7 linked regions of the Cricetulus griseus genome follow. The protein of the gene in region 1 interacts with the protein of each later gene in a pairwise test. Links are inferred from orthologs where the notes say so. Each region holds a gene or a part of one and is shown in the gene's direction. Other genes may lie near its edges. The genes, in order: Lnx1, Nudt14, Nadk, Rad51d, Osgin1, Rpia and melanoma-associated antigen B18.

What was found.
Region 2: the proteins of Lnx1 (region 1) and Nudt14 interact in binary tests that used the Homo sapiens proteins (3 or more experiments, as listed by UniProt). The two-hybrid records come from large-scale screens. The link is inferred for Cricetulus griseus from reciprocal best matches to the Homo sapiens genes LNX1 and NUDT14.
Region 3: the proteins of Lnx1 (region 1) and Nadk interact in binary tests that used the Homo sapiens proteins (3 or more experiments, as listed by UniProt). The link is inferred for Cricetulus griseus from reciprocal best matches to the Homo sapiens genes LNX1 and NADK.
Region 4: the proteins of Lnx1 (region 1) and Rad51d interact in binary tests that used the Homo sapiens proteins (3 or more experiments, as listed by UniProt). The two-hybrid records come from large-scale screens. The link is inferred for Cricetulus griseus from reciprocal best matches to the Homo sapiens genes LNX1 and RAD51D.
Region 5: the proteins of Lnx1 (region 1) and Osgin1 interact in binary tests that used the Homo sapiens proteins (3 or more experiments, as listed by UniProt). The two-hybrid records come from large-scale screens. The link is inferred for Cricetulus griseus from reciprocal best matches to the Homo sapiens genes LNX1 and OSGIN1.
Region 6: the proteins of Lnx1 (region 1) and Rpia interact in binary tests that used the Homo sapiens proteins (3 or more experiments, as listed by UniProt). The link is inferred for Cricetulus griseus from reciprocal best matches to the Homo sapiens genes LNX1 and RPIA.
Region 7: the proteins of Lnx1 (region 1) and melanoma-associated antigen B18 interact in binary tests that used the Homo sapiens proteins (3 or more experiments, as listed by UniProt). The link is inferred for Cricetulus griseus from reciprocal best matches to the Homo sapiens genes LNX1 and MAGEB18.

Annotation. Positions count from the first base shown.
Region 1 is NW_023276807.1:141,138,860-141,143,075, reverse strand, and holds the start of Lnx1 (E3 ubiquitin-protein ligase LNX), read left to right. Parts: upstream 1-1,416; 5' UTR 1,417-1,550; intron 1,551-1,766; 5' UTR 1,767-1,857; coding exon 1,858-2,008; intron 2,009-2,646; coding exon 2,647-2,799; intron 2,800-4,216.
Region 2 is NC_048598.1:181,118,283-181,120,707, forward strand, and holds part of Nudt14 (uridine diphosphate glucose pyrophosphatase NUDT14), read left to right. Parts: intron 1-297; coding exon 298-341; intron 342-804; coding exon 805-869; intron 870-1,064; coding exon 1,065-1,302; intron 1,303-2,425. UniProt on the Homo sapiens protein: Hydrolyzes UDP-glucose to glucose 1-phosphate and UMP and ADP-ribose to ribose 5-phosphate and AMP. The physiological substrate is probably UDP-glucose. Poor activity on other substrates such as ADP-glucose, CDP-glucose, GDP-glucose and GDP-mannose.
Region 3 is NC_048595.1:739,966-743,465, reverse strand, and holds part of Nadk (NAD kinase), read left to right. Parts: intron 1-2,048; 5' UTR 2,049-2,074; coding exon 2,075-2,253; intron 2,254-3,500.
Region 4 is NC_048600.1:96,305,149-96,308,648, reverse strand, and holds part of Rad51d (DNA repair protein RAD51 homolog 4), read left to right. Parts: intron 1-2,024; coding exon 2,025-2,106; intron 2,107-2,357; coding exon 2,358-2,492; intron 2,493-2,995; coding exon 2,996-3,091; intron 3,092-3,500. UniProt on the Homo sapiens protein: Involved in the homologous recombination repair (HRR) pathway of double-stranded DNA breaks arising during DNA replication or induced by DNA-damaging agents. Bind to single-stranded DNA (ssDNA) and has DNA-dependent ATPase activity.
Region 5 is NC_048596.1:196,070,363-196,074,651, forward strand, and holds the start of Osgin1 (oxidative stress-induced growth inhibitor 1), read left to right. Parts: upstream 1-1,489; 5' UTR 1,490-1,657; intron 1,658-4,289. UniProt on the Homo sapiens protein: Monooxygenase catalytic activity. Involved in regulation of cytokinesis; promotes RHOA activity, probably acting locally at the midbody in late cytokinesis.
Region 6 is NC_048601.1:62,432,077-62,436,267, reverse strand, and holds the start of Rpia (ribose-5-phosphate isomerase), read left to right. Parts: upstream 1-1,391; 5' UTR 1,392-1,429; coding exon 1,430-1,693; intron 1,694-4,191. UniProt on the Homo sapiens protein: Catalyzes the reversible conversion of ribose-5-phosphate to ribulose 5-phosphate and participates in the first step of the non-oxidative branch of the pentose phosphate pathway.
Region 7 is NC_048604.1:77,629,013-77,631,806, forward strand, and holds melanoma-associated antigen B18, read left to right. Parts: upstream 1-1,310; coding exon 1,311-2,294; downstream 2,295-2,794. UniProt on the Homo sapiens protein: May enhance ubiquitin ligase activity of RING-type zinc finger-containing E3 ubiquitin-protein ligases. Proposed to act through recruitment and/or stabilization of the Ubl-conjugating enzyme (E2) at the E3:substrate complex.

The DNA of each region.
Region 1 (4,216 bases):
ACATGACTCAAGTGACTTTACAAATGTTTATTCAGTTGGGTGCAGCAGTGCACCCCCACAGTAGGCTGCAGTAGGAAGATGGTGAGTTCCAGGCCAGCCTCGACCACATAGCAAGAGCCTGTTCCAGAAAACCTAAATAAATAAACAAATGTGCATTTTAAATATCCCCATCACAGTGTGGCTACTGTGCTTTCTTTAAAAAAGAATAAAATAAAAATAAAAGAAAGCCACAGAGATGGTCTAACAGATAATGGCACTTGCTGACAGGCCTGAAGACCTGAGTTGGATCCCTCCCTAGAACCCAAATGGTAGAAGGTGAGAAATAGCTCTCACAAGTTATTCCCTGACTTTTATGTGAACTCTCTCTCTCTCTGTCTCTGTCTCTGTCTCTGTCTCTGTCTCTGTCTCTCTCTCTCTCTCTCTCTCTCTCTCTCTCTCTCACACACACACACACACACACACACACACAGATGTTAAAAAAATAAGCAAGTAAATAGAAAATAAAATTTCAATCATATACAGCAGCAATTTTCAACCTTCCTAATGTTGCAACCCTTTTCTCATGGTGTGCAGACCCCAGCCATAAAATTATTTTGTTGCTATTTCATAACTGCAATTATAAGTCCTAAATAAATTATGAGTCATAATGTAAATATCTGAATTTTCCGATGGTCTTAGGCCACCCCTGTGAAAGAGTCGTTCAACCCCCAAAGGGCTTGTGAGCCACAGGTTGAGAACCACTGATATGGAGTTTGTGTAATAAACTGATAAGAATACCCAATACATAGTGAGCAGACTGTGTTAGGCAAATGGCCACTTGAAGGAGTTCATTAGTAAGATTTCTGTTGGAACAGCAGTTGTGTCATCTGGCTACCTTCTCCAGCAGTACAAAACATCCCCAGTTCCTGGCCAGAACCTTTGTCAGTGAACTGAAATGACTAGCCTAGTGGCAATGAAATGTGTTCGTGAAAAAATAAGGATCTAAATTGGCTCAAACATTGGTCTTATGCGCCCTGGGCATCCTTTCCCTTCCCTATTGTAGCAAGGACTGGTCTACTTTACAAAGTTTGTTTTTTAGTGAAATGGTAAGATGGATAGACAGAAGGAAATGCACAGAAGAAGTTTCTTTTGTTAATAATAATAAATAAATAAACTATCAAAGATGTTTTTCTCTCCCAATGTTGGTGATGCAGCATTTTCCAGTGTGTGAGAGCCCCTGGTGTTGGTCCCTCTGAAAAGCATGGGAGGCCCTACCAGCCCTAGGAATGGGACAGGAATGGGACAGGAATGGAAGCCACCACGCCTACCCCTAGAGAATAGCAGTTCTGAGTAAACCTTGTGGCTTTGTGGCAAGGGCAATTCTGTTTCCATGGTCAGCTAAATACAGGATCTGGGAGTGGCCTCGTACATTTATGTCCAGTGCTGTGGAACCAAACCCAAAAGAAAGGAGTGAGAATGTGATGACAGGCTTTCGTAGTCAAAATAGATACCAGTTAGAAGCAACTGCCAAGTCCAAATGCTAGAGGCCTCCATCCTCACACCCCAGTCAGGTAGATTTAATTTCCTACTGTTCAGCAGCCAATGTGGAGATTATGCTAGTAGAACGTAATAGGCAATTTTAAAAATTATTATCTCAAGTCATTTATGTATCTGGCTGGCAAGCATATATTGAATTAGTATGTGTGAAAAGGGAGGGGTGTACAGGGACAGATGTGTGTATTGGAACCCTACTAAACATTCTAACTGCCCCTTTGGGTTTGTTCCAGCTGCAAAGGTGCCTCCCACTATGGCCTGACCAAGGACCGGAAAAGGCGCTCACAAGATGGCTGCACTGATGGCTGTGCCAGCCTCACAGCAATGCCACTCTCCCCAGAAGTTTCTGCAGCTGCCACCATCTCTTTAATGACCGATGAGCCTGGCTTAGACAACCCTGCCTATGTGTCCACAGTGGAGGATGGTGAGCCAGTAACCAACTCCTCAGACTCCGGCCGGAGCAACCGAACTAGGGGTGAGTCAAATGGGTGGGTGTCTGTGAATAGGCTCTTGGTTTTCCCTGGGATTGCCCTCTGTAGAATACTCACTGCGGAAAGTTCTAGAAATGTTTTTGCAAAAGGGGAAATGGTTCTGGTAGTTTTGGCAGCCACTCCGTCCAGTTCTCCAAAGTAAAATGGAACTGTGAGTGCTCAAATCTTCACTGCTGTGTAATCTGACTTGGTGAAGGCGGTTGAGGTGAGGCCTGATGAATTATGGTTCCTGACATGTGGGGACCTCCCCTGCCTACTTTAAAAGTGTTATTACATTCACTCTCACCTAAAGGGGGAGAAAAGATTTTACATAAATAGGATATGTTTTTCATTACAAAAAAAATTACAAGTGCAGGTAGATAAACTCTTACCACTAAGAGGCAATCACTATTTTAATAGTATTGTCCCATTTCATGTATTTTATACATAAAATATTTCTTTGTTGTTGTTGTCACTTTTTTGTTTTGAGGCAAAGTCTCACTGTGTGCCTGGCTAGCTTTGACTTCCTGAGTTTCCTGTCCAACCCCATGAGTGCTAGGATTACAGGCACATATCAGCGCACTTGCCTAAAGGATGGTGGCTGTGAACCTGTAACTCCTGTCTCTGTTACATCTCTCCTCAGCGAGGCCCTTTGAGAGGTCCACTATGAGAAGCCGATCTTTCAAAAAGATTAACAGAGCTCTGAGTGTTCTTCGAAGGACAAAGAGTGGGAGTGCTGTTGCCAACCGTGCTGACCAGGGCAGGGAGAACTCTGAGAATGCCACTGTCCCTGAAGGTAAACAGAATCCCCACCCCCATCCCCAGGCTGGCCACAGACTGGGTTTCCAGAGTCACTTCAGGGATGGTGACAGCCTGACCACCACCCACCCTCTGTGACCCCTCCCTTCCCAAGGGTACAGCATTGGTTTTTAACCTTAATTAGCCTCTCCACCTGAGTAAGGACTGAAACTGTCTTCTTTGTCATCTTTCTACACAAATGAGGGGAAACACATCATTGTCATTCTCACAACACGGCGCTATAGAGTCTTCTTTTGAAACAGAAAAAGTTACCATGAGTTCTGTAGAGATTGATAAGCATCAAGTTAATTCCTTTGTTTTGATTCATTGCTTTAATTTTCTTTGTTCATTTGTTTATTGTGGGTGGGTGGAGATGGGTGTACCTGCCCACATACATGTGTACTCATGGGTCACAGTGCATGTGGAGGTCAAAGGACAACCTGTGAGGGTTGGTGTTCTTTCACCATGTGGGACCTGAGGCTGGAACTCCAATCACCAAGTGCCTTGAGCCACTGACCTATCTTGTGGGCCCTTGCAAAGCATCTGTGACAGGCTGGCATGTACTGTATCCTTGTCACATCTATACAGGAGACACCCTAAGGGTTCTATGTGCCTTTTCTCATTTAATCATCATGTGCCTGGGGCACATTTCAAGGTCACTGGCATCTCATTGGTGTGGCTCTCAGGATGGTTCACTGTCATTGTATCTTTGTTTTCAGGAAAGTATACTGAGGCATGTAGAGGTCACTCAACTTGTTCCAAATGCCCTTGTTGACCTATGAAGCCACAGAAAGGAAGTTATTGTATATTAGTTCATGTATGATTTATATCTTCCCCAGTGTAAGTTGAGCTGAGGAGACACTGTTTTCCACCTTTGTTTTTTATTTGATATTGAAGCTTTTAGGTTAAATTAATGTTTTGTGAGAGAGGGTCTCACTTTGCAGTCTTGGTTACTCTAAAACTTACTAGTCTAAAACTGACCTCAAACTTACAGTGATCCACCTACCTGTGCCTCTTGAGAGTCTTGGGCTTGCAGGCGTGTACCACATCTGGTTTTTATTAAACTATACAGTAAAATAACAGCATTAAGAAGAAGAACAGCTCTTCAGTACCAGCTAATGCTCTAAATCATGCATATGTCATAAGAATGCTGAGAAGAAGGGTTGTCATTCCTAGTTCACAGATAAGGAAAATGATCCAGAGAGGTTAGGCAAGTAGCCCAAAGTCACACAGCTAAACAACCACTAACACCACACACACAGACACACACACACACACAGAGAGAGAGAGAGAGAGAGAGAGAGAGAGAGAGAGAGAGAGAGAGCAGGATTTTAACTTCAAGATCTGGCTCTTTTGACACCTTCCAAAACACTCTTTGGAGTTGGAAGTTAAAGTCCCAGGAACTTTATTTACTC
Region 2 (2,425 bases), on another chromosome or scaffold:
TCCTCCCCACGCTTGGTGGCAGCATAGGTCTCTGTAGAACTTTTTGCTCCTGAAATGCCTTTCCTGCCCTTTGCCCAGATTTTCTACCTTACCCTTCCCAGAACACTAGGCTGTCCTGACCTCTGGGGAAACCTCGTCCACCCCCACCTGCTGCCTGCGAGTTCCCATTCCTGATGGGTACAGGCCAGCAGCAGGCCTGCCTGCTGGGAGCTGCTACAGTCAGTCTGTCTGGGCCATGTAGCTCCATGTGTCCTGGCAGCTGCTCACCCTTCCTGATTGCTACCCTGACTGTTTCAGGATGGTGTCCAGAAGTCCTGGGACTTCATGAAGACACATGACAGGTGAGAGGGGCTGGCCCGGCCACTAGGGAAACCCCCATTTCTGCTCTCCTTGGTGTTTTCAGATACTTTCCACCTCAACCTAGTCTCTGGTTCTCATGTCCCTGAGGCCTGGTGGCAGGCTGCCCCTCCTAGGGCTGAAGAGATCTGTTGATCTTACTCCTGAGGATCCAGAGCATGGGAAGTGTGGTTTTGAGGGGTGTGACCGTTGGGAGACTGGCCAGCAGGGGCCTCTACTTTTCCCAGCTGCCCCTTCCCCTGCCCCTGCCCCAGCTGTCTCCCCCTTCCCCTAGTCTGTGAATTGGCCTGACTGTGTGGCCTTCCTGTCTGAGCAATGGACTGACTGTGTGTCGCATCTGAGCAGGGTTCCACCTTTCCTGGGCTGTCAGGGAAAGAGAGGAAGGGGAACTGGGGCTCTGGGGAGAGGGGAGCCTGCCCTTTTACTGAGTTCCATTCCCCCATGCAGTGTGACTGTTCTCATGTTCAACTCTTCTCGAAGAAGCCTGGTGTTAGTGAAGCAGTTCCGGCCAGGTGAGACCAGCTGGGTGGGCAGGGGTTGGGAAGGGGGAATAGCAGGGTGCTTTCAGGCCCTTGGTCCTGAGCTTCTCAGTGCTCATGCATTGGTGGCTTTGGGGGAGACTAAGGTCCAGAAAGATGTGCCTGGCCCAGAGTAGATTACTCTGAGGTGACCGTCATGTGGCCATGCTTCCCCCCCCCCCCAACCAGCTGTATATGCAGGCGAGATGGAACGCCTCTTCCCAGGGTCACTGGCAGCTGTGGACCGGGACCAGCCCCAAGAGCTTAAGCCAGCACTGCCCGGCTCCGTGGGAGTGATGGTGGAACTCTGTGCGGGCATCGTGGACCAGCCTGGGCTCTCACTGGAAGAAGTGGCCTGCAAGGAGGCTTGGGAAGAGTGTGGCTATCACCTGGACCCCGCTGATCTGCGCCAGGTTGCCACATACATGTAAGGAGGCTTGGCAGGGCGGGCTGCTACCAGGTGTGGTCTGCGGGATAAGACGGGCTGTCAGGGAGTGGGTGAGAACCCTGTCCTTGAAGGTGAACAGCACAGGACTGGGAGAAGGTTGACGGACCGTGCCTCAGCAACTAGGCTGCGCGAGACCTGGTGCTTTGGGGCTGGTTCTGGAGTATGCTCAACCCTGTGCCCCTGCCCTGCAGTCCCAGCCATGTGGGGTTGGGCTCTGGGTGGCAGCTGCTGCCGACAGATGCTCTACTTCCTGTGGGATTAAGCACCGGGCGGGCGCTGGGGGTGGGGTGAGTCACAGCTCTGTTCTCAGCCGGTGGTGGCTCAGGAATGAGAGGGAAGGGCAAGTCCTGGGGAGGGGAAGGCGGAGGGACTACCCCTACTGAAGTCCAGGTGCCAGCCACACATGCCTCCCTCAGGCAGGGCTACCTTCCTCAAATGGGAAGCCACCCCTTGCCTCAGGGTGGTGTGTGACCCTTGACCCCTGAGGTCTTAGGGTAGAAAGAGGGTCTTAGGGTGCCTGCCACCCCATGAGGTTGAGCCCACCTTGAACCACGAAGGACCAGAGTCCCTGCCACCTCTCTGCTGGCACGCTCCACACAGCCTCCTGCCTCCGTCTCATGGGACGTCACCCTGTAGCGCCTAGCTGTGGTGGGAGCATGTTGGATCCAGTGTTGACCATTTGCCTCCGAAGGGCTGCTCTGTGCCCTTTTCTGCGCCCTCCGTGTGGACAGCCAGTGATGCCTAGATCCGTCAGTTTCCAACGTGGCAGCCTTTAGGGGAATCTAAGGAGCCTGACCTTCGTAGGAGTTTGGCCAGTGTGTGGAGCAGACAGGGATGGAAGGCAGGAAGGAAGTTAGCCTGGTGGGTGAGGGGTCCTGGCTGGTGGTTGAAGACGGGAACCTTGTCTCCGAGAGATTTCACATGCAAGGTCTCTGGGCTGTGTCCTGACTGAAGGTATGGGGGAGCCAGTGAGAGTCTGGACAGTGGTCACCCTACTCAGACTCATACTCTGAAGGGGAGGGTGTGGCCGTGAGGAAGCTTGACTGAGGGTACGGCTAAGTGAAGGTCAGAGCACCTGTCCCTCTGGGCCTTCCTGGGACTG
Region 3 (3,500 bases), on another chromosome or scaffold:
CTCTGTCTGGATTAAAAGTGTTTGTCACCAGGCCCAGCTACTTCTCTTCTCTGATGGCAAAATACAGTTATTTCCTTATTAAGCATGGCTTGTGTTGAGTGCGTGCTTGTAGCACATTCTCCATCCAGGCTCCTCGTTTTTGACTCATCAGGTTGGTCTATGGGCTTGTGAAAGATTGTCATGACTGTTGATGTAGGAGGAACCAGCCCATTGTGAGTGGTACCATAACCTGTCCAGCTGTTCCTGGGTGGTGAGTGGCTTTACTCCATGGCTCCTACAGGGCTTTGCTATGACTTCCCTCAGTGATGGCCTGTGAACTAGATATGTAAGCTAAGTAAATCTGTTCCTCTCTTAAGTGCTTTTGTCAATGTTTATCACAGCAACCGAAAAGAAGCTAAGACCCAGTTCTTCCAGTCACTTAAATGAAACTAGTTGATTAAAATGTAACCCTGACTGGACTGGAATTCACAGAGCTCTGCTTGTCTCTGCTAGTTTTGTTTGTTTGTTGAGACAGGGTCTCTATTTTGTAGCCCTGGCTGTCCTAGAATTCTCTTTAGACCAGGATGACTTCATACTCAGAGATCCTGCCTCTGCCTCCTGGCTTCATGGGCTTTCGTCCCCATGCCTAGCCTTTGTAGTTTTGTTTTAAAGACAGGAGTCTAGTTGTAGCCATGACTGGCCTGGATCTGATTGTCCCCGCTGCCTCCCTAGGGGTGGGATTAAAGGCATGTACCACCACTACCAGGCCAGCTCGTTTTATTCCATTTCGAGTTTTGTTAGTTCACTACCACTCATCCTCAGAAAATCTAGCTCAGTTCTAGGGGAGTAAAAATAAACTTTGTGTTTGCCTGGTTTCACTGTCTGGATGTTGCCCAAGAGGCTTCCCATGCTGACTTTGGCCCAGAGTGGTCTGGGAGAATGTTTCAAAATTCCAAGTGGAGAGAGGCTTTTTTTTTTTCTTCCTTTGTCTCCCCCCCCCCCACGAATTTTATTGAGCCATGGTCAGAATTGTGCACCTTCAAGACATTTGGGACTTGAAGTTGTCTTGGAAGGTTATTACAGTTCAGTTCTGATGACTTTCTTTGGTACTGACTGACCTTGTAGACTTTGTAGGGGTGCACCCCAGCACATACCTGCTCTTCAACTGTTAGAGAATGAAAAGTATATTATTGTGCTGCTCTCTACACCACAACTTTATGTTTTGATCTTAATTATTTGGCCACAAAGGCTGCTGTGTGTTGCTCTGTGTCCATCCTTCCAGAGACCCTTTTATCTAACTGGGTTATTTTGTCCTTACTTTCCCCTATCTTTAGATTGGTTCAGAAACACCAGTGAGGGGTGAAGGCACATCTTAGTCATAGAGCACTTAGCTGGAATGTGCTAGGCACCGGGTGCAGTCTCTGGCACTGAAGAAAAATGACAAGAAAGATTCTGAGTTCTTAGCTGTCTTTAGGGTGAAAGTAGCATATTATTTAAGAAGTTTGGAAAACCAAAACCTGGCAGTTTTTTCCTGTTGCATGTGACTTTTCTTAGGGAGTCTGTTTTGGTTTTTGTTTGTTTGCTTTTGTTTTGTTTTGTTGGTTTTTCAAGACAGGGTTTGTGTAGCTTTGGAACCTGTCCTGGAACTTGCTCTGTAGACCAGGCTGGCCTCACACCCACAGAGATCCATCCCCCTGCCTCTGCCCCTTGGGTGCTGGGAATAAAAAGGCATGCACCACCACCCAGCAGGAGTCTGTTTTCTGTTCACCCAGATAGAGAAGGTGTTGATAAATGATCAACCAAGTTCAACAGTTTATTGAGGTTACTTACTGGATCCTGGGTGACTCAGACAGCTGTATCAGTAGAGTCTTTTCCCAGTAGTGTTATATCTTCAGGGAAGTGAGGGGCTTCAAGAATTTCCCTCATCCTTCCACAAGGAATATCCCGAGGGTCTTATGGGAGCAAGACTACAGTTGTTCAGATAATCACAACCAACATTTCCTTGGATAGACTGAGTGTTTATTCCTGCTGCCCACATACATTGACTTTTTTTATTTTATCAAATTAAGGCATCGGTGTTTTTCTCATATCAACTATGGAAATGGAACAAGAAAAGATGAATGTGAGGAAGGAGTTGAGCCCTGATTCAGCCTCATACCACTGCTCAGCATGTCATGGGGATGAGACCTGGAGCTACAATCATCCTATCAGAGGCCGGGCCAAGTCTCGGAGCCTGTCAGCCTCACCTGCCCTGGGCAGCACCAAGGAGTTCAGGTAGGACCAGAAGTATTCGTTCTCCTCTCGTGCCATGGTGGGACATGTTAAGATTCTTGCAGAGGACACAGCCTGTATCAGTGTAGTTTAGCATTGCTGAAGTGTGAGTTTTGTCCACAGGGTGGGGCTGGGCACTGCCCAAGTGGTGCTGACCTTAGCAGAGGGATCAAACACTGTCCACGAGATTTGTGCTGGGCACTTGTTACCAACTGGCATGTGCCAAATATAGGCTACATCATGTTTTTCTTTCTTCCTCAGCATAGAACCACCCAGCCAGAACCGTGCTGACCTTCGGTTAGGCTGGTAGGAAAGCATGATTGTGCTCAGGAATGAAAGAAAGAAGTGCTGGTGGGACAGAGGTACCATGTGACCTGGAGCTTTCAGCTCCTCACACACAGGCCACGGGGTCTCAAGTGCAGGTTGTATGGCACTGCCTCCCTTTGCTGCAACATAAAGCCTCAGGGGAAGGTCACCTGACAAGCATGGGACTCCACGCACATCAGGAGGTGTTCTCTCTCCTGGTGACAATCACTGTTAAGTTTTAGATGGAAGCTTGCCAGAGACTGCCACTGACTGCAGAACAAGGGTCACAGCTGTGAAATGTGAAGACAGGCTCTATAGTGAGGAGCCACTTTAAAACCATTCATGGAGTCTTTTCTATGAGATATAATGATCTCACAGAGCTCCTACCTGGTAGCAGTGGAGGAACAAGGAACAGGGGCAGCTTCAGGTTCTATGTAGAAAGTTCTTTGTGTGAGAGATGGCTACAGTGAGGCCAAGTGGCCAGTACCTTTGCTCTGGGTACACAGCTGATCACGCACTGTCCTCTCTTGCTTGTGCCTTCACCACTATGTTTGTACCCTGCCAGCTTTGGGCAGAATTGCCTTAGCTGCTGGTTTGTGTGGGTTTTGGCATAACATTTTTTTTTTTTTGGTTCCAGGGACATTGAACCTGTGAAAGTGACTGTAGGTCAGGACAGCTTCTGTAGTTGATGGCTGATGCCATGGGGCAGCATGGGGATAAGCAAATTTGCCCCTGCCATCTGTCCTTCAAGGAGGATAGAGGGAGTACCTGCTGACTCTTGTCCTTTGCAAGCCCTAAATTTCCTGCCTGGTAGCCTTTAAGTTCCTACAAAAGTTGATATTTGTGATATTCTGTATAACTTTTTAAAGACTTATGTAAATAACCCAAGCTTGGTGATTCATACTTGTAATCTTAGAACTTCAAAGGCTGAGGTGGGAAGAACA
Region 4 (3,500 bases), on another chromosome or scaffold:
TTTTTTGAGACAGGGTTTCAGGGTTTCTCTGTGGCTTTGGAGGCTGTCCTGGAACTAGCTCTTGTAGACCAGGCTAGTCTCAAACTCACAGACATCCACCTGCCTCTGCCTCCTGAGTGCTGGGACTAAAGGCGTGCGCCACCACCGCCCAGTGACAAGAGATTTCTTTCAGACAGGGTGTAGGTATGAAAAGTTGGCTCACAACCACCCAGGGCATCTGATACCTCTTGTCTCCAGAGGCCCCTCACAGATTTTTTTAAATTTATTTTTATTCTATGTGCATTGGTGTTTTGTCTGCATGCATGTCTGTGTGAGGGTGTCAGATCTTGGAGTTACAGACAGTTGTGAGCTGCCATGTAGGCGCTACTCTGGAAGAGTAGTCATTGCTCTTAACTGCTGAGCCATCTCTCCAGTCCCCAGTTTTTTTTAGTATGTTCTTTGGCTCAAACTAAGGACCTCATGCTTGGAAGGCAAGCACTTTTATTGACCAAGCCCTCATGCCAGCCTAACCTGGATGGAGTTTTTAAACTCTGTTCAGAAGCAGGATCTAAGTCTAGAGTCTCTCACTGTGTTGCTGATGCTGTTGGAGAACACACCAAGAAGAGCTGCTATGATGGACCTGGGCTTCTGGTGTCTCAGGGAGAATGGGATTCAGAAGCAGAGGCTGGAGACCTATTAAGTAGAGGCTTATTAAACACACCCAGGATGTACACAGAAGCCACAGAGCTGGAGTAAGGACCAGATTTTGACAGGCAGGAGCCTGTGGTCCCTGGAGTTAAAATAGGTGGAGTGGTGACTGGTTGCTGCTTGTCATGTGCTGATATGTCATGGTTGGTCATCAAGAACCTCTTCAGAGGCCTGCAGTGCAGTCTTTGACTATATTTGCCGAGTTAGGAAGGGAGGTGTATGACAGTCAGGCATTGATCCAGGCTGCCTGCCACACAGAAACTTTAGCCCACCCCCACCCCCACCCCCGTCCTGGGCAGCACATGGAGAGTAGTGGTAACTTGTTTTCATGTTGGTTGGGGACAGGAGTGAGGTTAGGAAGTGACCATGTTTTGAAGTTCATCTCAAGGATTCCACAGCCTGAGTTTTGACATTCAAGCCACTGTTCTTGTCATTTCTTCAGTAACATTTACTGTGTGCCTTCAGGGTTTTCGGCTCTGTGCTAATACTGGAGACAAAACAAGGATAAAGACCCAGTCTTTGCCCCCCCCCCCCCCGGGATGCTCCTACCAGATGAGGGAGGCAGACAAAAACAAGCAAATAAAAAATAATTACAAACTCCCAGAACTAATAATCGAGTTTAGCAAGGTCTGGGGATACAAGATCAACACGTAAAAATCAATTGCATTTCGGTAAACTCACAATGAACATTTGAAAACTGAAATTAAAAACGCAATGCCATTTGCTGCCACATCTAAGGAAATGAAATACATAGGTCTAAGTCTGACAAAGACCATGTAGAATTTGTATGCTGAAAATAAAAAATGCTGATGAAGAAGATCAAAGGTGAATCAAATAAATGGAGAGACTTTCTGTGCTCATGAATTACAAGATTCTACAATAGTGAATGCCAACGCTCCCCAACCTCCAACCTCCTTCCTGACCTGCCACCCATACTAGAGATTGAACTCAGGGTTTGCATATAATAAGCAACTACTCTACCATTAAGCTTTTATATATATATATATATATACTATATATATAATATATATATATATATATTTTTTTTTTTTTTTTTTTTTTTTTTTGGGTCAGGTCTCATGTTGCTATTGCCCCAGTCCAAATTTATCTGCAGATTTTTGTTTTTGTTTTTCGAGACAGGGTTTCTCTGTGTAGCTTTGGAGCCTATCCTGGCACTCCCTCTGTAGACCAGGCTGGCCTCGAACTCACAGAGATGCTCCTGCCTCTGCTTCCCAAGTGCTGGGATTAAAGGTGTGCTCCACCAATGCCCGGCCTTATCTGCAGACTTAATACAGCTTCTTCTCTCCTTTCTTTTTCCATCCCCTTCCAACCATCAGCCTGGACAAACTACTTGATGCTGGCCTCTATACAGGGGAGGTGACTGAAATTGTAGGAGGTCCAGGTAGCGGAAAAACCCAGGTACCCTTGGAGCCAACAGAGGGGAGGGTTGGGGGAGGTGGGTGCATTGACCTGGATTCCTCAGGGAGTTCTTGCATGTGTCTCTGTGTTGTTGGAAGGTCAGAACAGACCACATAGGGGCTGAGAATGAGTGTGGCCTTAGCCAGTGTATGTTGTTGGAATCTGGGCAGGATTCAGTGGAGAAGCTGCCTGGTGAGATCCTCTTCTCCAAGGGCTTAGGTTTACTCAGTTCCCTATCTTGTCTCTGAAAGGTGTGCCTGTGTGTGGCTGCAAATGTGGCCCATAGCCTGCAGCAGAATGTACTGTATGTTGATTCCAGTGGAGGAATGACAGCATCCCGCCTCCTGCAGCTACTACAGGCTAGAACCCAAGATGAGGAGAAACAGGTAGGGGGCAAGATGGCTGGGTTCCTTTAAAATCCTCATGTTAGAAGACTTCATGACTACATTGTAAGAATATACACCATCTATGAGAATCATCATTTCTTACTTTGAAACTGGAGCGTCCTCTGCATTCCTAGAGCTGCTCATGTTAATGTCATCATCCCAGCTTGGATGCCACCCACACTGATTCTCCAGGAACTTCCAAGTCCTCGAGTACCATAAATCAGAGGCGGCAAAGGCCTGTATCTGTGTTTCCAGCCCATTTCTTGCCAGGGCAGGCATCACTAATCAATCATATCTGTCCTTCCTGCTGGATCCTGAATGTCTTACAGCTCAGCACCCAGGTAGTCACCACTGTGAGATCCAGCCCATTAGGCAAAACCCATTTGCCATTCCGATGCCAGCACTGTGTCTAAGTGCCTCTTTGCTTTTGCAGCTTTGTGATTACATTTATTGCTTTCCGGGATCTCCTTTCCAAGTCCCTGCTTCTCTGTCCCACCCCTCAGGCAGGTGCTCTCCAGAGGATACAGGTGGTGCATGTATTTGACATCTTCCAGATGCTGGATATGCTACAGGACCTTCGGGGCTCCATGGCCCAGCAGGTGAGCCTGCTCATCTGCCTGTTTCTGCTTTACCCATCTGGCCAGGTGTTGTCTGTATTGGGCCAGGTGTCCTACAGACTCTACTTGGATTGCATGTGTCCAGTGTTACAGCTCCAGCTGTGTTTGCCACCCCCCATCCCTCCACCCCTGCCTGCCTGAGCCTCAGGTGGAATTCCTTGGTGCTTAATTCATAATTCATGTGCTTCATTGTTTACAGGCTCACCAGCCCTGTACAACAGTGAGCTCCTTGAGTACAGAATTATATTGTCTTCATCTCTGCATTACTCACTGAAATCAATTAGGAAAACTCTCTCTCTCTCTCTCTCTCTCTCTCTCTCTCTCTCTCTCTCTCTCTCTGTCTCCGTGTGTGTGTGTGTGTGTGTGTGTGTGTGTGTGTGTGTGTGTGTGT
Region 5 (4,289 bases), on another chromosome or scaffold:
AAGAGGTGCCCCTCTGCCAGATGGTGGTTTGGCACCATGTACTCCTTGGGGAACAGACTCTCCTATTAAGACTGTTAGTGCAAACTAGGGCTCAGATGTGTGTGAATGTGTGTGGTGTGTGTGTGCGCGTGTGTGTGGTGTGAGGTAGGGATGTGTGTGTGTGTGTGAGTGTGTGTGTGTGTGTGTTTGTGTGTGTGTAGCAGTACTGGGGATTGAATCCAGGGCTTTGAGCATGCTAGGCAGTGTTCTGCCACTGAGCCATCTCCCAGCCTGAGCCCAGGTTTGAACATATGCATATGAATGCAAGCAGGGTTTTGTGGAAGGATTTTTTTTTTTTTTTTTTTTTTTAATGGTACTAGGGCTTGAACCTAGGGCCTCATGCAATGCTAGGCACTGGCTCTACTGAACTATTTCCCCAGGCCTATATGCAGCATTTTAAATAATAATTTTTTTAAGCCAGGAAAAACAAAATATTAAATTTTTAAATAAAAATGTGTGCTAGTAGCCAAGATTCTCCCAGCTGGAGGCTGCTCCACAAGGTGGGCCTAAGGACCCTGTCTTTCTTTACAGGGTCTTTGAAGGGTTCTTTATCTGGCGTTTGTATTCATCTTTTTTAAATTTTCTTCATTTTTTTTTTTTTAGAAAATTGCATCTAAGCGTCACTTTCTTGGTTAGTGTGTGGAGTCCCTCTTAGTGTTGGTTCTTAGAGCAAGAGCCTGACACCCACCCCCCAGTCCTTGCCCTGGTGGCAGAGAGGACCATGAGGGTGACAGCTGATAATGACAGGAACAGGTAATGGTCACCAAGGTTGACAGTGACCTAAACCCCTACCCAACTTCCTTCTGTTGGAGCAAATACTGAACACCTTTGTGGAGAGTGCTGTCCCAGACCTAGTAGGCAGCAAACAGTGCCACCCCAGGACCAAGCTTCCATTCAGCAAACTCAAGAACAGTTTAGCAGATGGTGTGACCCCTCCCCGCTCCTCTACAGGAAGGGAAGTCTATGAGGACCAGGGAGATACCACACAATCCTCTGGCCCACACACCCCAGCCCAGGAAGGAATCAAGCTCAACCCCGTTTTTCAGATAGGGAAACTGAGGTTTGTCCAGAGCCTCCAACCAAGAAGTTACAGAGTGGGGATTACCAGGGGTCAGGCTGGTGCCTGGTGGCTTTTTTTCTGCCCCCCTCCCCACAAGCTGGGGTGGAAGCCTGGTGGAACAGCTGCATAAGGTACTTCAGGGGCCAGCAGGCCAGTCATTTCAATTGCACATGGCAAAGTTGTTCCCATAGGGAAGAGACCAGGTGATCTCTCCCAAGGGTCACAGTTCCTCCTTCAGATCGAGCCTAAAAAGGGGGGCTGACCAGCAGGGGCCCTTTAAGGCTGGCCAGGGGCAAGTTCATTCACCCAGGGGCCCCTGCTGACTCATGCTTATGAAAGTGATTTTCCTGGCCCCGCCCCTGCCTCCGCCTCCTCCCAGCCCTGCAGTGAAATACCCCTGCTAGCCTTGGGCCTCTCACAGCCTCTGGGATCTCCAGGGCTAATGGACATCCTGTTCCTGCAGTCAGTCACCGTGACCAAGTCCCAAACCCTGACCAAGTTCCTCTGAGTGTCCTGCCAACCCAGGTTCACCAACTCCCTCCAGCTACTGCCCATCAGGTGAGTGGCCTGGGCAAGGCTGTGGGTGGGAAGTGATAGCTGTGGGGAAAGGGAAGCCAGACAGGGCAGCAGGGCAGTAAGTAACTTGGTCCTGAGCAGGACTCTGGGATTCCTCCCTGCTCCTCCCAGCCATGTCCATGTCCAGGTGCCTGGGCCACTCTCCCCAACAGCCTCATCCAGCCCATGGAGTAGCTGTTCTGGCAGGAAGAAGTGTGAATAGCCTTGATCCATGGCCACCATGTCTATAGTCCAGTGGGTGCTGTGCCCTGTGTGTCAGGCACAGATGGGCACAGCCCAGGGGTCTGGGCACTAAGCTTATGGAAGGTGCTTGGAGGTGGGGCATCAGGAATCCTTGGGCTCAGGTGGGGCAGGCACTTGAAATAAGTGTTCATTGTGACTAAGGCCGGGTAATACTTGGCTGACTGCGCACTTCCTCACGCCCCAGGACTTTGTGTCACTAGCAGCTGTCACTGTTACTTGTTGCTTTGTTTGGGAATGGAGGGGAAGGGGACCAAACTAGGCTGTCTGAGACCTAGACAAGATGCCTTCCTCTACCCTACCTCAGTTTCTTTCTCTGTGTAGTGGGGATAAGAAACCCCAGCTCTTGAGTATCTTAGAGGCAAATGGTACAAGGCCCCAGCCCTCCCCAGTGTGACAATTTCATAACCTCAGAAATATCTGTGGTGTTACACCAGGGCAGTTATTGACACTTATGAGAAATTCTGCTTTTCATTTTTATGTGCATGGTGCATGTGCTCATACCTGTGGAGGTCAGAGGTTGATGCCTAGCAACTTCCTCAATCGCTGTCCACTTTCTTTTTCTTTATTATTTATTTCTTTATCTTTGTTTATTCAAGACAGGGTTTCTCTGTGTAGCCCTGGCTGTCCTGGAACTCACTTTGTAGACCAGGCTGGCCATGGTTAGTACTTAGATGGGAGACACCTTATTTTTAATCTTTTTTTTTTTTTAATAGAGAAAGTGTGTTGGGGGGTCAGTCAGTCACCCTTAGGGGTCAGGAGTCAGTTTCTCCTCCCATCTTTATTGAGTCCTAGGGATCAAATCAGGTCACCACCCTTATGTAACAAGTTACCTGTTGGGCCATTTCCCTGGCTCTCCTGGACTGAACCTGGAGCCCATTGATTCAGCTAGCCAGCCAGTTGTCTCCAGGCCGCTTCCCTCCAGACCTGGGATTATAGACATTTGCTTTTTACAGGGGCACAAGGGATCCTAACTCAGGTCCTTGCACTGTGAGGCAGGCACTGTACCCACTGAGCCATCTCCCTGGCCACCCACACCAGCAATTCATCGTGTTAACTTTTATGTCACTATTGCCCTACCAGAGGGACATCAAAAAGGGGCTGTTCTAAACTTCAGGGTGGGGGACTCGCTCCTGTAATCTGAGCACTTGGGAGGTGCTGGCAGGAGGATCAAGAGTTGTAGGCCATCAGAGGCTTGGTGTAGTTTAAAGCCACCCTTGGCTGCAGGAGACCCTGTCTCAAACAAACCAGGAGGCTTATTCCAACTCTACAAAATACAGCCAGAGAGTGGAGCTGAAGTGCAGAGAAGTTGTTTTGCTTTATAAATGTGTAGCTAATGTTTGTGGGTGGTTGTGAGGGTGAGCAGCTTGGAGGATGTGACCTGGGGGGGACGGGGGGCCGGGGCCTGGTGGTGACCTCATGTGTATGGCATCCAGCAGCTCCAGGTGAAGCCTCTGCCAGCTGTGCTGGGAAAGGGGCCTGGTCTTGGAGTGCAAAGTCCTCCAAAGTATTAGCCCATCCTACTTCCTGTGAAGCAACTTGGGCATCCCCTTGGATCTGGCCTGTGTGGACAGGGCCTCCTGCTGGCACCAGTGAGGAGTTGTATGCTGGGGTATTACAATGAAGGAAAGGGTTGGCACCTCAGGTCTCCAGGGATACTTGGCATGCTCTTTTTAGGAGTGTTGGAATGTCTAGTAGGGTTCTGCCCACAGGGATCAATTTTCAGTTCTGTTAACTGCTTGTTCTGAAGCTTTGGGGGCATGACTTTTCCCCTGAAACCTCAGTCTCCTCATCTGAGAAGTGGGTTGCTGCTGTTCCTGGGGATAGCAGAGGCAGGAGGGAGAAAGCCCAGGCCCTTTGATGTTCCTCGGGTGCACTTGGGAGGGGATTGCCTTCCAGGAACTGCAGCCTGAATGCCCAAGGCTCTGACCATAGCTGCACGGTCAGTGAGAGACTGACCCTGCAGCAGGCCATTGGGTACAACCACACAGTGCATGATGAGTCTCTGGCCCCTACACTTGCAGGAGCACAGAAAAGGTTCTGGAATGAGATGGCCCGGTACAAGTCCAGTCCCCCTGACTAGATGTAGGATAGGCTCCTTGAAGCAAAGGTCTCCAGCCTCAGTCTCTATCTGTAAATTGGGAGTGATCGAAAGAGTACTTTTACCACTCAGATAAATATTATAAGCATGAACTGGTGTGTGTAGAGGGCTTGGACCTTGAGTAGCAACAGCTCTACGGAAGTCTGACAATGCCTGGTGTTGGCTGCTACAATTACTGCCATTGGTCATGCTACTTCAGTATCCTCTTAGGCCCTGTATGGGAAGGCCATATGGTTTCTAATAACAGCAGGGAGCCACCTGCGCCCTCCCAGG
Region 6 (4,191 bases), on another chromosome or scaffold:
CTGAACAGCACTTGTATACCTGCTTTTGGTGGCTCCTAATGGTGACTGAAGAACTTTCCCCTCCTTTTTTGGTAAAGGAGTCTATCAAGTGGTCCCTGAGTGTACTGGGCAGGATTACACTCTGATAAGATAAAACTCAGGCTGGAAAAGTTGCAAATAGGTGTTGCAACTTACCTTTATTGTTCCTAGGGGTTCTTGGAAAATTCTAGTTAGGGGTGTGGTGGCACACGCCTTTAATCCCAGCACTTTGAAAGCAGAGGCAGGCAGATCTCTGCAAGTTCAAGGCCAGTCTGGTCTACAGAGTGCCAGGACTGGCTCCAAAGCTACACAGAGAAACCCTGTCTGGAAAACCCCAAAACCAACAAAAAGAGCTCCCAGCTCTATTTGATGACATACTCATGTAATCCAAGCTCAGAATGTCCAAGTTCCAGGCCAGTTTGGGCTACACAGTGAGTACAGGCTAGTGAGGCTGTAGAAAGAGATTAAGAACTTCCAAGTGTTCAGTAAGGCTTAGCACCAGTTTCCAGCTTGTAAAAGGTGGTGATAAGAATTCTTCACCCTTACATTGCAGCAAACTAAAGGCAGAGGAGGCCCAAAGGTTTGAGTTTTAAAATTCCTCATCATCAAGAACTGCGGGATCTCTAGAGGGCACACTGGCCTGTGTGAACACCCAGGCTCCGTCTACACACCATGCCATCCAATACCAACAGCAGAACAATAATCCAAGGCTACCGACTGAACTTGTGGTCTTGGGTTTGTGAAGGTCTAGCAGACTTCAGAAGGCCTGGGAGTCTCAAGTGTATGTCACCAAGGAGCCAATCTTGTTGTGAGGTGAGGTGGCTCAGCCAGTTAAGTACTGACATAGGTGTTCAATTCCCACTACCCAAGTTGTCAGATAATGGACTCCTGCAAGTTGTCCTCTATGACCCACACAAGCCTGCACTCAAGCACACAAAGTACAACTTAAGTAATAAAATGCAATTACACAAAAAAGTTGTGTTGTTAGAACTTGAGTTTCTGGGGAAAACAAAGTCAGGTTTTCAACAGGTCTCTCCTTTTTTTTTTTTTTTTTTTTTTTTTTTTTGCACTGTTTTTTGAATGCGTGTACAGCCAGAAAAGTTCTCGGAGTTCACCTGACGGTGTAAACACTTTACCTCAGGGCAGACAGTTGTTGGTTTTCTAGACAGCTGCTATCCTGACCTTCCGGACAGAAAGGCGGGAGTCAAGGCGGGCGATTTGCTCGCTAGGTCGCACGCATTGTGGGGCTTGTAGTCCAGATTGCCTCAAGGCTTGAGGCCGCTGACTCCTCGGGACTACATTTCCCAGCAGCATGCGCTCAGCAATGCGCGCGGATTAGGTTGCTCGAGCGAGCCGATTTCCGGAGGCGCGGGGGGCGGGGCGGCCGCAGAGGCTGGAGCGAGGTGGCGGGATGCAGCGCCCCGGGCCCTTCAGCACCCTCTACGGGCGGGTCCTGGCCCCACTGCCCGGGCGGGCCGGGGGCGCGGCCTCGGGCGGGGGCGGGAACAACTGGGGCCTCTCGGGCTCCCATGTGCAACTGCCGGGGCGTGCACAGTCTGAGACCCACGGCCACAAGGGAGGCTCGAGCGCGGGCGGCCCAGCCCCCTCCACGATGTCCAAGGCCGAGGAGGCTAAGAAGCTGGCGAGCCACACGGCGGTGGAGAACCACGTGAAGGTGGGCAGCTTGTGGCGGCGTGATGGCTTCGTGCTGCGCCTGACGCCTGACGCCTGAAAGGGAGGGGGGCGGCAGCAGGAGAGGGAGAGGGTGAGCCTTGTATCCGAATACACGCTGCTCTTCCCAACCCCTGAAAGGCCTTGTAGACGTCGAATTGGTAGGTGCCAACTCTCCCCCAAATAGAGCCCCCCACCCCACCAAGATTTCCTGTCCGGCTGCAACTGAGTGTACCGAGGAGCCTGGCATTACCCTGTTGAGAGTCTGTCAGGTTGTTAATGCCTGCCTCCTTCCTAGTCAGCCCATTGAAAATGGTGAGCCCTGAGGCTGCCTCGAGTTCTTCACTTCTCATTCTCCGGAAAGCCACTGGAGAACTGGTTTGCAAAGAGTTTTTGAAATTTTACTCCAAACAAGCTTTTCAGCTCCTCCTGCTTGGGAACTTGAGTGCAATCTTTACAAAGAAGCCATCAAGTTAAGCCTTGCTGTTGACAGGGCCGGGTGGACACGACACCTGGAAGTGGTGTTCTTCAGGTGGAGTCCAGATGTTTAACAGTTACTCAGTCAGGTTGCGTCCCCATTTGGCTTGTTAAGTGGCAGGTGTGGTGCTATGAGTGGACTCTCAGTGTAGCAGGTTAATTATCTTAACTGTATTATTTCTGCAGCCCTGTGGTGGAGTTTCCTGGTCTCGGTTTCTGCTTCTTAGATAGGGTTATCAGAATCCATTTCTGCATAAAAGGAAGTTTTTTTTTTTTTTTCCATTTGCTAGTGTTATGCTGCACAAAGCTGCTTTGCAAAGATGATGTTCTTAGAGATTTTTCTAACTTCCTGCCATGCGTGAGGGCGGCCTGAGTGGGTGGGTCCGGGTCTGATAACCTCTGGCTCAGTCTGTTCTACACCACTCTTGTTTCAGGCAGGGTTTCTATGCTCTTCTGTTCTGGTGTAGCTCTTTGCTCCTTTAGTTTGCATAGGATTTTATACTCGATTTAAGAGGGTGTAGGGTATATGAGTATGAACGTAAAATGAGTGATTTGGCTTTGTGTTTGGAATTTGGTGCCACAGCTGTAAAACTGGAACGTAAAGTGAAATTTCAAAATACCTTCATGAAGTGACTTAACAGATTGGTAAATGCAATCTATACCTTAGGAGAGCCCCTTATCTAAGCTATCGTTTAACGTTTAGTGGCACATGTCTCCCTGACCTTTGTTTTATAGTTACGTATTTGATTAAACTAAAATCTGCAAGCTTTCATCTCATGTTAGAGTCCCCAAACACTGGATTCTAGCTATACTCAAAGAATTACCAGAGAATCCTTGGGAGATCTCTATTGAATTTTGGGAATGTCTTCAAATAGGGTTGTTTGTCCTGTAGGGTTTGATTCAAAGGTCTTTACTATTTCCAGTTTTCCCTTGGCTTCCTAAGGACACTAGAAGATAATTTCCTCTTCCTATTTGGAGACTCAGGCTGACTAGCAGCTTGCCAGGAACTTGATATGTGAACCACGCTGGCCTTGAGTGCTGGGATTAAAGGTGTGCACCACCACATACCTAGATGCTCTGATTCTACCGCCTAAGTGCTGGCATTATAGGTATGTGGTGCTACACTCAGCTTCCTTCAATTGTTTATGACTCCAGACACTTGTGACCTATGCTCTAGTCCTCTGTGCATTTCTCTTGCCTAACTCCCCATGAGCTCTGGGAGGAGACTTATCGTTATCTGCACATTCAGTGTTGGGTACAGTGAGACCTGCTTAGGCAATGTTCATTGGGTTGTGTAGAGTGTGAACACTGATATGGTGGTTGTGGGTTATGGAGGCCCTTTTCCTAGGCTCTCTGAGTTTGGGGTTTCCAGTCTCCCCAATCTCCGCTGACTGTTTCTACTTCAGAGTAGATGGAAAACTCAGAATTCTCAGTTGAATCTTTGCAACCAGGTCCAGACCTGCCTGATTCTAAAAATGTAGTTATCTTGGATGTGTTACTGTGCTGTCCTCATGGCCTGTTGCTTCATCCTTTGCTCTTTGTGAGGCCTCGGCTTTGTTTTGAGATCAGCTTAGCTTGAGGAAACTAGTGAGCAGACACTAGTATTAATATTATTATTAGTAGTAACATTGGTAGTTTGTTTTTTGAGACAGTCTCACTAGATAGCCCTGGTTGCTGTGGAATTCACTATGTAGACTAGGCTGGCCCTCAGACTCTCAAGAGATTTGCCTGCCACTAACTCTCAAATGCTGGAATTAAAGGTGTGGACCACCACACCTATCGAATTCTGTGTTTTCAGTCTGATAAAAGCCTGTTTTACTAACACACTGTTCCAGACTCATCACATATCCCGCCCCTCCCCCCAACCCACCAGAGCCAATCTCATAGATTTTTGAGATCACCCCATTGGACACTATACTGTTTAGGACTGCCCATTAGAAGGGCTGTCAGCTGTTGGGCTAGTTTGCAGGCAGCCCTTGGCCACTTCTAGTTGGACTAGGGCACAGACTCCTGCCTCTGTCATTT
Region 7 (2,794 bases), on another chromosome or scaffold:
TTAAACTATAATGAAAATATATTTTTACTATGAGAAAAGTTTACAGAGATAAATATTTGTCTTAATTTAAACATTACTTAATAAATAATAAACCCTTGTCTCATACCCTGTAAGTATAATAACACTTATGTTTCCTATATCAGCTTTAATGTAAAAAATATCCAAAATATTAATAAGAAGAGAATTAACAAAACCACACAAAATCTTTACCAAAGCCAGTTTGAGAATTTGCTGACAAACTAGGTAAAAGACGTCCCAATTTATGTCATAAGATATGTCTATTTATACTGAATAGGGTATTATTATTCAGATACCAACCACACTTAAATTGTTTGTGTATTTACTGTCTTACCTGGTGGGAAGGTCGGTCCTGAAGTCAGCAGATTGAGAAAAGCTAGCTCAGCACTTATGGTCATGGTTAGATATTGAATAAGGACTGACAACACTCATATTGTCATCCACGGGAGATGCCGTAAAAAAACTCCTCGTCTGTTGTCTGTTGTGAAACGTATCAGAAATGGCTACTGAATTTAGGCTTTTACTTTAATAGTCAGGACTCTCAATAAAATGAGATTCAGGATCCGAGGCAGGTGGACTCTGCTCATAAGAGTGAAAAATTCAAGTCACAGTGAAAAGGCAAAGAAAAAACTACTAAATTTCTTGGAAGCAACAGCCCTCGGGAGAGTGGTTGATTGACAGAGCCCCCTACTTCCGTCTGCGCCTGCGTGGTTGCTTTTAAAGGACTGTGTGGGCGTGACCGGAAATGGATGTCCGTAATATCCGCTTTTCTTCAACGGCCGTTATTTTCGCGCTGTCTTCGTCGCCAGTGAAGCCGTCGGAGCGTCGTCTGGTGAGGAATTGTAGGAACGTCCTTGTGTCAAGGTATATTCTGGAACATTCTCCCCACAGACCAGAGTCCTTCCCAAAGGGACCTGCTCCAAATTATCCTACCCCTATTTTTTAATTCAGGTGTCTCCAACTACGGCGCTTGTGGCACAGTGCTTCCACTCGGCATTTGGGGACTCAACGTCGATAGAGACAACCTTTAGCAACGGGAGAAACAGTACTGGTCAGGAGGAGAGTTAATATTGTGAGTTGGAACTGAGTTGACAAGGTCTAAATACCCCCTTCCCTTTTGGGTTCCTAAGTCAGTTAACGGGAACCGGGCGAGGTGGCTGTTCATGGAGTAACGAACAGTAGGATCTACCAACAGAGATTGTACAAATTATCTCATCCTCTGTTTTACAGGGTGACCTCTTCCTTAACCTGTTTGCAGTACTATCTGTGTTTCCCCACTAACTACAGTCATCATGCCCCGTGGCCAGAAGAGCAAGCTCCGTGCCCGTGAGAAGCGCCGCCAGGCCCGTGCTAAAAATGCACCAAAGGAAGGAGAGGCCTCTTCAGGTCCTTTCAGTGAGTTTCCAGATCAGGCTGATCCTGATACTGGTATGCCTACACCTCCCAACATGCCACAGGGAGCTCACTATAACTTTACACACACATATGAAAGTACAGGGCCTGAAAACCAAGATGAAAAAAATTCAGATGACTCTGATGAGCTTGAGGCCTGGAGTAAAGATCCTATAAATCGTAAAGTAGTCTTATTGGTGCAGTTCCTGATGGAGAAGTATCACAAGAAGGAGGTTATTACAAAGGCAGATATGCAGAAGTGTGTAGTCAAAACATCAAAAGGTCACTTCAATGAGATCCTAAAGAGAGCCTCAGAGCACATGGAACTGGCCTTTGGTGTTGATCTGAAGGAAGTGGATCCTGTCAGGCACAGTTATGCCCTTTTCAATAAATTAGATCATACCTTTGATGTCATGAGGGGTGAAGAAATAATGCCCAATACTGGCCTATTAATGATGGTGTTGGGTGTGATCTTTAAGAAAAATAACTGTGCCTCTGAAAAGGATGTCTGGGAGGTGCTTAATATGATGGGTGTATATGCTAACCGAAAACACTTCATCTATGGAGACCCTACCAAAGTTATCACTGAAGATTTGGTAAACCTAAAGTACTTGGAGTACCGAAAAGTGCCTGACAGCAATCCTCCATCCTTTGAATTCACATGGGGTTCCAGAGCCCAGGCTGAGATCAGCAAGATGAAAGTCCTGGAGTTTTGGGCCAAGATTCATGATACTACACCAGATGCCTTTGTGCCCTTGTATGAAATAGCTTTGAAAGATGAGGAAGAAAGAGCCCAAGCTAGGTCTGCCGCTAGGGCTCGCACTGCTGCTACGGCCAGTTCACATTCAAAAGCCATGGTTAGCAGCTTCTCCCATGCTAAGTAATAGCTAAGTCTGTTGCCTCACTATTTGTAAAGGTCTGTCAGCTACCTAATAGTGAAGTGCTAATATGGGCTGAGGAGAAAAAGTGCTTATAATATTAGTTTTTCTGTTGTATTCCAGTTTTACCTTTTTCCATCTTTTAGTTCTAGGCTATATTTTCAATATTGAAGTCTGAGGAAGGTTTCCTATGTGGAAATTAAGGATAGTGAACATTTTAAGTAGTATGTGGGCAGCATAGGTCTGAAAGGAGCACATTGAATAACATCATTGCATTCCTATGCCATATTTGTTACTTTAAGTTTCATTTTTATGTTATATTTCAGATGTTTCTATCAGTAGACTTCAATACCTTTAAATGCAAAATTATTAATGAATTTGCTTATACATTTATCGCCCTTTCATAGTTTGAAGCTGTTGTGGGCAGAGAGAGTGAATTTTATTTAGGGGTGTGACCACTGATGAGTTCTCCATGTTCCAGCGAATGAACCCACACCTGTGTCCAT